Yarrowia lipolytica: one gene and its partners. The protein of the gene in region 1 interacts with the protein of each later gene in a pairwise test. Links are inferred from orthologs where the notes say so. Each region holds a gene or a part of one and is shown on either strand. Other genes may lie near its edges.

Region 1 (3,977 bases):
ACAGAGAAGAAATAACGTCGTCTCCGAGCTGCTGAGTCACGTTGAGAGACTTGAGATGGGGGCAAAATTGGGTCAGCTTGGTGATCACCTTGGACACCTGCTCACACAACTCTCGCGTGGGAACCACAATCAGAGCAGTCTGGATATCCCGTTTCTCTTTCTCAGCTCTCAGCATCAGCTCGAAGATGGGCAGCAAGTAGGCCACCGTCTTGCCACTACCAGTGACGGCCTTGGCTGTGATATCCACGCCCTTGTCCAGAGCCAGAGGAATGGTTGTGTTCTGAATGAGAGTGGGCTGCTTCATGTCGCAGGCAGCCAGGCCGGACAACAGTCTGTCATCAAGGCCGAACGAGTCGAAGGACTTATCCTCCAGGTCGGGGGTAGTCATTTTTGTAAGTGGTGTATGAGTATGAAATGCGTAGGTATACTTTTTGGCAGAATAATTTTAAGGTACATGTCGGGCAAAAATATTTCGATAGATGAGCTTAAGTTAGATAGAGTTTTTAAACGGACTGTGCAACTAATGTTTACTAAATTACTTCGAAATGTAGGTAAAAAGTACTCAGTCGCTCCCCAACTAGACCCAGTATATACACTTACCCTTCTACTCAGATTCTCTTATAAACATCTTCTAATATGCATCTATACTATTAAAGCTTGTAGTGGGCGAGCTGGAACATTCGGACTCTGCCGTTGGTGGCACCTACAGTCAGGTACTCGCAGCTGGGGGAGAAGGCCACGCTGGTGACAACTCCCACAGAAGTATGTTGAGTGGGCCAGTTCTTGAACACGGTGAACGAAGGAACATGGACCAGCTTGAGAGAGTCTCGCTTCTGGTCGGAGGCCATGGCAAGCATCTGTCCGTCGGGAGAGAAGACTAGCGACGAAACGGGGGTGGTTAGGTTAGAGAGAACCGCAGTGGGTTTCTGGGGCACAAAGGGGCTTTGGCCCTTAGCAATCTCCAATGCAAGTTTGGGTCGGTTGTAGACGTTGACGTAGCCGGACTCGGAGCCGATAGCCAGCCACTGGTTAGCCTTGCCGCCGATAGCCAGCACCGTGATGCCAACTCCTCCCTCGTCGGTCCAAGTAGCTGTGAAAGAACGGCTTTCCACGTTGTATTCCCACACCTGTCCAGCGGTGTTGACAGCAATAATGGAGCCACCGTCCCACACAAAGTCGGCAACGTCGCCCTCAATCTTACAGCCGTCGATCCACTGTCCAGAGGTAGCCGACAGAATGGCCAGCCAGCCGTCCACTCCAACTACACAAAGGTACTTTCCGTCTGGTGAGAGCTTGAACTGCGCAAAACATCGCACCTTGTCACCATGGCCGTACAGATGTGCCATTCGCTCCACCTTTCCACTCTCAGCATTCCAGATGTACAGATGCTTCTGCTTTCGGCCACCAGCATACACTCTCTGGCCGTCGGGGTGGAAGGCCACGTGAGCAAAGGGAGTATGTCTCATGAAGAGCGTGGTGACAACAGGGTTGTTCTTGCCATCCACCTGGTATAGTCGCAGAGTCTTGTCGAAACCTCCAGTCAGAAGCAGAGAATGTGTGGGGTGGAAAGCGAGACCCTCCACGGCAGCTCGAGAAGGAGCAGCAAAGTTAACGTCCTGAAGTCGAGCAACCTCTATTTCGCCGTGTCGAAGCAGTTTGGACTCCTTGTTGGAGTACTGGGTGACTCGCTGAAGCACCTCGCTCAGAGAAGTGCCTGTAAGCACGTCCTGCTCCTCCTCATCGGACCCCTCAGAGTCGTCCTCATCGTAGTCCTTCTTGGCCTTGGCCTTGAATGCATTAGCAGCCCAGTCGGGGACCCGGTAGATCTTTCTATACTGTTCTCTCAGCCGTCGCGAAAACACCTTGCCGTTAACGTAGTCCTGGGTCTGCGTCTTTCGCAGCTTCTTGAGCATACCATCGTGATCTCCCACCAGCGAAATGTGCACGTTCTCGTCGTCCGAGTCGGCCCATGCGGCACGTCCTCCGTGCTCTTCTAGAGTCTCATCGAGGGTATCTGAGTCCATGGACGAGTCGGAATCGTCGTCAGAGTCGTCATCAGAGTGGTACTTTTGCCCGTCTCCTCCATCAACAAAGAACAACTGGTTGTCCTCCATCTTGTTAAAATCATTCTCGTCATCCGAATCATGGGAATCGTCGGAATCCTCCTCCTCTGCCTCTTCAAGCGCAATGTTCTTGATACCCATCTCAAAGCCCTCTAGATCTCCAAAGACGGCCTTCTCCAGCTCCAGCTCCTCCTCGTCCTTATCCGGCACCTCGTCATCAGAAGAGTCCACGTCCATGGAGTCCTCCATATGCTCGTCAATGTCCACCATGACTCCTTCGGTGGCGTCCTCTAGCTCTTCCAGTGATTTCATTTTGTTGTGTGTAGTTTCGATATGTGTAGTGGTATTATTTTTTTGAAGTCCCATTTACAATCTGCTTAATGCACCCACCCTGAAAATATTTATTTAAGCTCCAGAGCCTAATAAATTCCTGTATGCAGAGTAGGAAATTTCGTGCACCCAACACCAGACCCAGATAACAACAACATGGCTGATATGGAAGTGAGTACACCGGCTAAATTGACTCGAGATCCACCGCTAACACAGACTACAGCATCGATATCGCGTCATCTGCGACGCAAGGGCGTGCCTCTGGTGCAGATTCTGCCGTTTGCAAACGAAATTGTAGCCGGAAACCTCAACGTCTACTTTCCCCATCGGTTGTGCGCAGTTTTGCAATGGTGGATGGACAAAATAAGCGAGAAGACCGACTCTGCCAAGGAGGCTCGAGCAGACCCGGCATTCTGGACGCTATTCATCACTGTGTGGGAAGACATGGCCAAGGATCTGGCCATGCCAAGAGAACGAATCTACAGAAACAGCAAGTTCACAGAGATCGTCAGTCTAGCCATCAAGGAAAACATTGAGGGCTGCTCCGTTCAGCTGCTGGACGAGATCACCACAGCCGTCAACAAGGTGTCTCGGTCGTTAGCCGTGCAGTTTACAGAGAGTGCCGCTGTCGAAATCGCAGGAGACTACCTCAAGACCCTTACAAACTTTCAGAAGACCGGGCTGCCTGTGGGACACATTGCTGGAGTGTCTTCATGGACTCAAATGATCCTCAACTTTTTGGAGCGGTCTTCTCAGGGAAGTCAGGATATGCAGAAGAAGTGTCGAGAGGTTGGATCGTATCTTCCCTACATTTTCTATCTATTGGACGGGGAGGATCTAAACAAGGACCTGGCACATTTCATCGATTATCTGGTCACCAAATTCCTGTTTGATCCCGAACACTTCCCCATCACTGGTCTGTATGCCTTCACTACTTTTGAGGTGTTGAGCTTCTCCACTGAGGCTCCTGTTCGAGGCTATGCCCACATTATCAGACTGGGAGAAAAGGTGGCTGCTACTATGCCTGGAACCACTGGTGAGAAGGATCTGGTTGTGCCTCTGGTCAGTGGTCTAATCCAGAATGCCAAGCAGTACACTGTGGAGCTGCTGGATCAGTGTACAGAGATGGGCTACAAGGTGGAAAAGAGCATTTTGGTGAGGCTTTTCAACGAGGCTGTGCCTACGAGAGAGGCCTTTGCATTGGATTGGCAGGTGAACAATGAACGAGATTGGCGTCTGATTGCTGCTTTGGTGCGACAAGATCCTTCACTTACAGCTACTTCGGTGTCTTTGGCCAAGGATATCTCTGATGGTCCTGATAACGAGTACACGAAGTCGGTGATGCGAGGTATGGCTACGGGATACCAGCTCAACAGCAACATGTATGACTTCATCATCATCTGGGTGGATGAGATGGCCAAGTCTAGTAAGTGGAGAGACCCTGGTTTCCTGCCCTATGTTTCTGATCTCATTGCTAAAATGTTCCCTGATCAGTACTACGATGTTCTGACTCATTGGACGGGGAAGGTGAAGGAGGAGCAGGGAGATATTGCTGTCAGAAACAACCAGCTTTATGCTCTTGTT
Region 2 (3,126 bases), about 1.2 Mb from region 1:
CATTTGCTACGAAGAGTTTTCTAACGCCATGCTGGTGATCCCCACCACCCTGGCCGAGAATGCCGGTCTCAACCCGGTCAACGTTGTGACCGAGCTGCGAGTTCGACACGAAAAGGGCGAGGTCAACGCCGGCATTTCGGTGAGACGAGGAACGTCCATTATGGTGGAGGAGCATGTCATTCAGCCCGCATTGGTTACCACCTCGGCCATCACTCTGGCCGCCGAGTGTGCCAAGGGTCTGCTCAGAATTGACGATATCGCCTTTTCCAGATAAATATAGAGGGTATTTAGAGTATGGTATGATTGTTATGAGAGAGGACTACGACCGGAGAAATTGGTTCGCGTAGGTACTACTGTAGTTAGCTACGAGCAACATGTCCTTGTAGTCCGTAGACACAAGTAGTATCGTATTTAGTGTGTATTGGTACAGCCACTAACGGTGCAAGTACAGTTTGTACTGTAGTGGTGTGTTCTTATTATATAATGCTATTGGATATATGCTGTTTATTCCTCCTCCTCCAGTGTCTGGCCCTCCTTTTCCAGTCTCCAGATTGGTAGACCAACTGTCTTAGGGCTCTTGATGTAAATAGTTTTGGTTGATCGAGCTCCCCCGTCCACGAGGTTGTCGACGATGTTGTTTGCCACTCGATGCGAGTTCTCCTCGATCTCCTTGGCGGTATTGTCTGGCAGGTATCCGACGAGGGCAGTCAGATTAACAGCGCCCTGCTCGCATGCCATTGATCTGGGGAGAGTCACCGACGTGGATCGAAGCAAACCTCGCACCTGTGCCTTGACGTAGTCCGGATCGGCAAACATGTTTGCGTCTCTTGCATCGTCTTCTTTTCCAGGTTGGATGAATCTGATGGGGAACGGCTTAGTCAGATGTCTCAGAGAAATCTTCTTGGACAGTCTATCATAACACTCCACGACCTCCTCGTGGATTCGGGAGTCGGCGACAATCAGATCGAAGTCCTTTCCGACAGACAAGGGGTCCTTTCGCAATTTAGGTCGAAACTTCTTGACCGAAATGATATCAGCAAATGTGTCTTTGGTGCTAGCTTCGTCAGCCTGGAAGATCTCTGCATATTTGGCGGTAGGGTGTGGCACTATGAGCAGTATTTTCGCCTGGGATATCGACTTGTGGATCTTGTGGTGCAGAGGAATGACATAGGGGACTGAAATGTTGTTCATACCTCGCTGCCCGGGAACTCTGACATTGGTTTTGGATGTTGTGGTGACGGTGAGGTGGACGGGAATTCGCTGGTTGGGGTCCTCGGTTAGCTCCTGTTTGGCGGACTTGAACAGTGCCTTAATGGCTGGCTTTTGCGTGAGTTTCATCTTGTCGCTGGTGGTCTGGATTTTTTTGTCATCTTTCGAAAATATTCGAGACCTGCATGTGAGCTGTATGGGTTAGGGGTTGCTAGGGGTAAACTAGTTGAGCTCCTGTCAACTAACTTTAGTTGGCTTTACTTGTGACAACATTGGTATGGTAGGAAGGTTCGGCATGTTATGATGGCCAAGTTGAGGTCATATAGCAGATGATGGAGGACACGGCAATCGTTGCCACAGACAGAATGTTTCATGGAATCACGGCCTATCCGAGCAAATACGACTACAACTACGAGTACTCGCACACGCACCACACGAACAACGCGACACAGCGAGCACTATACACACACCAATCTTCGCCACCAGTCATGAGTTCCCTCGTCCTGACATCGACCGCCTCCAACTTTGTTTGATTGTGGCGTACAACATATCACGGTAAAATAGAGTATGGAAGCAGCCAAGATGTAGCAAACCTGCTGTCCACGTGAGCCACGGGAGATATAATGGTAGCTGGATAGTGTCTGACACTCTCATCTTCCTATACCACTGTCTGCTTTTCAAGCCCACCGCACACAGAGATACAGTACACGTAAAGCCATACAACATCGCGTATAGGCATAGACCAACGGAGGCTACACACAAGAGCACCCCCAGACACTCCCAACAACAAGGTTTTGAGGGGAGTTACCCGGAAAAGTTTTCATCTACAACACTCCTTCCCATCTGCCCAAGGTCGATATTACCCGGTCTCGTTTCGCGAAACGCGGTTTTTGGACAGATACAGGAAAACGCAAAACAGTGTACGCGACGAGCACCACGTGATACAACGCCAGACGCCGCCAGACCACAACGTGACACTCACATCCACACAGCCACCTACACACAAGATGCCCAAGGAGGGTAAGCCCGCGCAGGAAGGCGCACAGGCGCTGCTGGATCTCCAAGACGAAGGCAAGGATCCTCGCAATGTCAAGGATGACAAAAAGACGAGCGATGGCAACAATACCAAGGACGACGTGGGCGAGGAGACCGTCGAGGGCGCTCTGATGCATCTGGTGCGATTCACTCAGGACGAGGAGAAACGCGAAAAGGAGAAGCCCGGTGTTGGTGTCGGTAACAACGGAGGAGCTCCTGCAGGCCAGCAACAACAGCAGCAGCAACAGCAGCAGCAGCAGTACGAAGACATTGCTCATTATGGGGAATTTCTCAACGACAATTCTGACACGCCATGGAACCAGAACCTGTTTTCGGAGCAGTTTGCCGTCGCAGCTGCCACTGCTGCCGGCGAGGGAGACTTCCAGGAAAAATTCAACAAGGAATTCAGCAAGGAGTTCAACAAGGAGTTCAGCAAGGACGAGTTCAACGAGATGGTGGCTGCTGCCGCTGTCGAGATTGGATCTGGAGGCGCTCCCCAGCCTGGCGCAGGTACAGAATCAGACGCACAGGCTCACGGACGGAAACGAAAACGTCAAAAGACGTCGCTCAACCCCAAACAGGACCTGAACGTGGATCCTGTGCTCGAGGGACTCGGAGAGGCCGTCAAGGGAGGAGACAATCTGCTCCTGATGGACGATTTCCGACGAACAGCAGGAGTTCCAGGTCACCCCCACGACCACCCTGTCACGTCACGCGACTACATCATGCCTCCCGAGTCTATGGTCGCGATGCGAAACACCAGCAACGCTCCCAAGGTTGCAGCCTCGAAACGCCCTAATTGGACAGGTGACGGTTCGGAGTCTGGAGGAGCATTTACTCCCGAGGAGATCGAGAAGCTCGAAGAGTATATTGAGGGCTACT
Region 3 (4,377 bases), about 2.7 Mb from region 1:
GGTGAACCGAAATGTCATCAATGGCGAGTATGGGCTGAGCACTACAAGTACTTGTAGAACGAGTAGATGTTTACCTAACACTCGCCCAACTACTGTGTCAAGCAGTAATCCGAGCACCCTAATGAACTCCGAGGATCTGATATTCTCTCTAACTGGCTCCTACTCATACAGTACGTACCTAGTCTCTTGTAAATAGTACATACTGTGCCACAAGTCGGTCTTTAAGGCAGATCTGGTCTCGAATTGCCCCCTCACCGACCTCCGACCTCATCAGTTCCATCTAACAGTTCATTAATATCTATTTAATCCATGCACCATGCCAACCAGTCGATCCACTTCGGGGACCCAAGTATCGCGCTAGACTGGATTGTACAGGTCTCGTACCCTATGTACCGGATACGTGACCTCATGCTAAAACACGTGACCTCACTCGGGCGTAACACGTGACCTCTCATGCCAAATACAACACACCTGTGACCCAAGTCTCCTGCTCGTCTCGTCCATCTAATCAACCCGCTTCTTCTTCTTGGACCAGAAGGCTGCGGGCAGAGGAATGTCGAACGCCGGTCGCTCGACCACCACGAGCTCGTTGCCGTCCACAATCTCCGCGCCGATGATTGGTCTGTATTTGCTGGTCGACCAGAAGGCGGTGGTAGTCTGGTTTTCGGAAGTGACGGGTTTGGCCGTCTCCTCTCCATCCAGACGTCGCTTAGGGACTCGCTCGACCGGAATGTTGGTCGAGGTGTCAACAAACGCCAGCCAGGTGGCTCCCCACATCCACACTCGCTGGGAGTGCTTGGAACTGGGGTCCAGGAACATGCCTGTGCAGTGGTCGACCGAAGAAGCCACGGGGTCGGGAATCTCGGGGTTGGATCGGCTCCACTCGGTCAGCAGACCCGAGCCGAGATCGAACTCCACCACCTTGTTGTCGGCCGTGGCCACCACCAGTGTCTTGGCGCCCGTGAAGGCCATCGCGGTAGCGGGAGCAGCAGACAGACGCATGAGTGTTCGAGCGTGTTTGAAGCCTCGGTCGCCCCGCACAAAAATCTCCGTGTGACCCGATCGCCGCGACAGAGCCAGATGTGTATCTGAAAAGGCAGCAGCGACGATTTCCGTCTCGTGTCCGTGGGCAATGAGGTTGCCCTTGAGCACCGCCTCGGGAACCTGCAGCTCTTCGATAGGTGCGAGCTCCTCGTTAAGCGAAATGAGAATGACGGAATCGGAGGAAATGAGCAGCAGCTCTCCAGCGGGCGAGAAGACGGTCAAGTGGGCTCCCTCCAGATCCATCAACTTGTTGGGTTTCAGAACGGGATGGCCCTTGGAAGAAAGCACCTCCTCGAGCTCGAAAAGTTTGGTCTCCTGAAGAGAAGACACCGCCAGAAGAGAACCAAACATGGCCACGTCAGAAATGTTGTCATCGGCAGACATGGTCAGTTTGCACACCAGTCTTCTCTGGCCGCCCTCAAGGCGTCTCCACAGCTTGACAGTCTGACCGTTCCACATGGCCACAATCGAGCCATAGACGAGAGTCTGGGTTCGCGGGGGAGCCACCGAGAACTTTCGGTAGGGGCCCTGAGCAAACTCGTTAACGGAAGCAACCACAAGCACCTTTTCCACGCCTCCAGATGCAAGAAGAGACAGGTTTTTGGCCTCGTAAGTAGCCAGAGCTCGCACGTCGTGGGCATTGTAGCCCCGCACGTTGGTCTGGTTCCATCGCTTGCCCACAGACTCGTAGCAGGCGATGGTCTTGTCGACACCCGCCGAAAAGACAGCGTCTCCGGCTGCATCGACTGCCAGACAGAGAATGTCGGCTTCGTGGGTCTTGAACGACTGGTTCAGAGCAAAGTGCGTGCAGTCCCAGAACTTGACCGAGCCCGTGGAGTCGCCGGAAACGATCAGATCGCCCTTGGCTCGCTTCACAACCGCCACGGTCCACACCAGAGTAGCGTCGTCCTGTGCCACAGGTCCCTTGGCAGTGTCGACCTTCATGGTGGCAATGGTGGATCCGTCTTCGTCCCAGACCCGGATCCGCGCGTCCGAACAGCCGCCCACCACCTGCGAGCCTCTCCATGCCAAACTGAGCACTCGACAGGTGTGTCTCTGAAGGACTCGCGAATGCTCCATCACACCAGGGCCTCCAGACAGATCCACCACCACCACGGAGCCGTTTTCGCAGCCTGCAGCCAGCTTGGTTCCGTCGTCGCTCACGGCAATGCACCAGATCACACCGCTGTGGCAGTCGTAGTTGACTCTGGGCTGGCCCGTGGACACGTTCCACTCGGTGATAGCGGTCGATCCTCCGATGGAAAACAGCCGCGGCTTGCCAGAAGAGTCGCCCGAGTCAGACCACGCCAGCCCCTCGACAGACCGGCCCTTTCCTCCCCGCAAAGTCGTCTCATGGAGCCAGTTCCATCGGGGGTTCCAAATTTCGATATCTCCATTATCTCGTCCCACAGCCAGTCTCAGGTCCGGCGAGGCGTTCTGGTCCAGCTCGGAGCGTCGGCTGAACGCCAGCGCCGTGATTCCGGCCGGATTGTAGTCCACAAAACGGCATCTATGAACGTCCATTGTGTTGTGTGCTGTTTTTGTGATATGTTGCACTCTCACAATTTTTTGGCTTACCTATATGCATATGCAGATTTTTTTTTATTTAGGCTTTGTCATGTGACTAATGGGTGATAGAAGCACCTACAAGTAGCGGACTATGTAGAGCCTGTATAACAAGAAAGAGGGCTTGAAGAGATTGCTAAAGACTGAAATGCTATGACAGTGGTTTCATTTTTGGTTTTGGCCACGTTTTACGTGTTTTGGAATTATCTCGACGAATAGTGGACGTAATAGAAATCTGAAAGAACCATGATATGGAGCGGAAAAAGACCAACAAGATGCATTTTTCAGAGTTGTTTTATCTAACCAGCAACACCATATTTTGTATAGCAAAGTGTGGTCTGGCGATGTTAAGTGTAGAGTCAATGGTGTTCAGAAGATGACTTGAATGGAGATTGATACTGGGCGTAATAAGTTTGATTTTATAATAATATCGTAAATTGACCGTTGCAACAACTTGCACTCTTGGATTTGTCTATATATATTCTCTAGTCTGTCTTGTAGATGTGTTCTGTTCTGCTTAAAGTAATTCTCAACAAACATTTATACTAAGCCAAGTAACACGTAACAAACTATTATACCAAGTCAAGTAATATGTAACAAACTATTACACCAAGTCAAGTAAAAGAAAACGGGGGTTCCATGCCCCCAAACGGACGAATATCACGTGAAAAAAAAAAAAAACCAAAAAAAACCAATCGTCAAATACATCTATACCACTTTGATAACCCCAAATGTCCTCTTTTCCTCCACTTTTCCACTCTCTGAATCACATGTCCCAAGCTGGAATCGAACCCCGCACAATATACAAAGTTTTCCCCCGGGTGGTTACCGTGGCAACGGCCTTTGTTGACGCGTTCAAACATCCCTTTGTCGCATCACTATACACCTGCCAGTTACATCAAACCACCACTCAGCATGACGACGGCCAAAAAAACACATGTCGGGGTCAAAGCCAACAACCGCAACGAGGCCAAGCTGTACTCGCTACTGGGGCAGTATTTCCAGGAGGCGCAGCGGTCGCTAGTGGCGCAGAGAAAGATCATTGTGTCCATGCAACAACTACACGAGGGAGCAGTTCAGTGGAACATGGAAGAGCAGTTCACGCGCAAGTTTCTGCTGCTGGTGAACCGCATGCTCACGTGCAAGAAGGGCGACAAGTCGGCCGACAAGGTGGTCGAGTTCATCGGCTCGTATGTGGGACGTCTTCAGGAGGAAGAGGAAGACCGGGATGAAGATGAAGATGATGAGGAGGAAGAGAGCACAGTGGCGTCTCGTTTCTGCGAGGCACTCATTCGTCACGTGCTCCGAGGAACCCAGGCCAAAGATAGACATGTGCGGTTCCGATGCTGCCACATTCTGTCTACCGTCATCAACTCTCTTAGTGACATTGACGACGACCTTTTTGAAGACCTGCGAGACTCCATGTTTGCGCGGTCGTACGACAAGGACGCCAGCACACGGCTAAAGGCCGTGTTGGCTCTGTGCCGAATCCAATCTTCTGCTGAGGAAGGAGAGGAGGAGTCCGCGGAGGAGAAACAGCTACAGGAGCTGCTACTGAGCTTGATCCAGAACGATCCCTCGGCCGACGTGCGCCGGGCTATCCTGTTCAACCTCAAGGTGACCAAGAAGACCCTTCCCTATCTTCTTGAACGTGCACGTGATACCAATTCCATCACGCGACGGTCGGTGTATGGACGGACCATGAAGAGCATTGGTGATTTCCGAATGCTGCGGATCGGCATGCGAGAGAAGTTGCTCCAATGGGGT

What was found.
Region 2: the proteins of YALI1_F39108g (region 1) and YALI1_F27132g interact in binary tests that used the Saccharomyces cerevisiae proteins (3 or more experiments, as listed by UniProt). The link is inferred for Yarrowia lipolytica from reciprocal best matches to the Saccharomyces cerevisiae genes UTP18 and UTP30.
Region 3: the proteins of YALI1_F39108g (region 1) and YALI1_F12080g interact in binary tests that used the Saccharomyces cerevisiae proteins (3 or more experiments, as listed by UniProt). The link is inferred for Yarrowia lipolytica from reciprocal best matches to the Saccharomyces cerevisiae genes UTP18 and UTP4.

What each region holds. Positions count from the first base shown.
Region 1 is NC_090775.1:3,909,252-3,913,228, reverse strand, and holds YALI1_F39108g (uncharacterized protein), read right to left. Parts: upstream 2,430-3,977; coding exon 651-2,429; downstream 1-650. Other genes in the region: YALI1_F39128g (uncharacterized protein), read right to left, coding at 1-388; YALI1_F39106g (uncharacterized protein), read left to right, coding at 2,550-3,977. UniProt on the Saccharomyces cerevisiae protein: Involved in nucleolar processing of pre-18S ribosomal RNA and ribosome assembly.
Region 2 is NC_090775.1:2,711,927-2,715,052, forward strand, and holds YALI1_F27132g (uncharacterized protein), read right to left. Parts: upstream 1,339-3,126; coding exon 505-1,338; downstream 1-504. Other genes in the region: YALI1_F27101g (uncharacterized protein), read left to right, coding at 1-274; YALI1_F27141g (uncharacterized protein), read left to right, coding at 2,217-3,126. UniProt on the Saccharomyces cerevisiae protein: Involved in rRNA-processing and ribosome biosynthesis.
Region 3 is NC_090775.1:1,205,441-1,209,817, forward strand, and holds YALI1_F12080g (uncharacterized protein), read right to left. Parts: upstream 2,569-4,377; coding exon 505-2,568; downstream 1-504. Other genes in the region: YALI1_F12052g (uncharacterized protein), read right to left, coding at 316-455; YALI1_F12089g (uncharacterized protein), read left to right, coding at 3,526-4,377. UniProt on the Saccharomyces cerevisiae protein: Involved in nucleolar processing of pre-18S ribosomal RNA. Required for optimal pre-ribosomal RNA transcription by RNA polymerase I together with a subset of U3 proteins required for transcription (t-UTPs).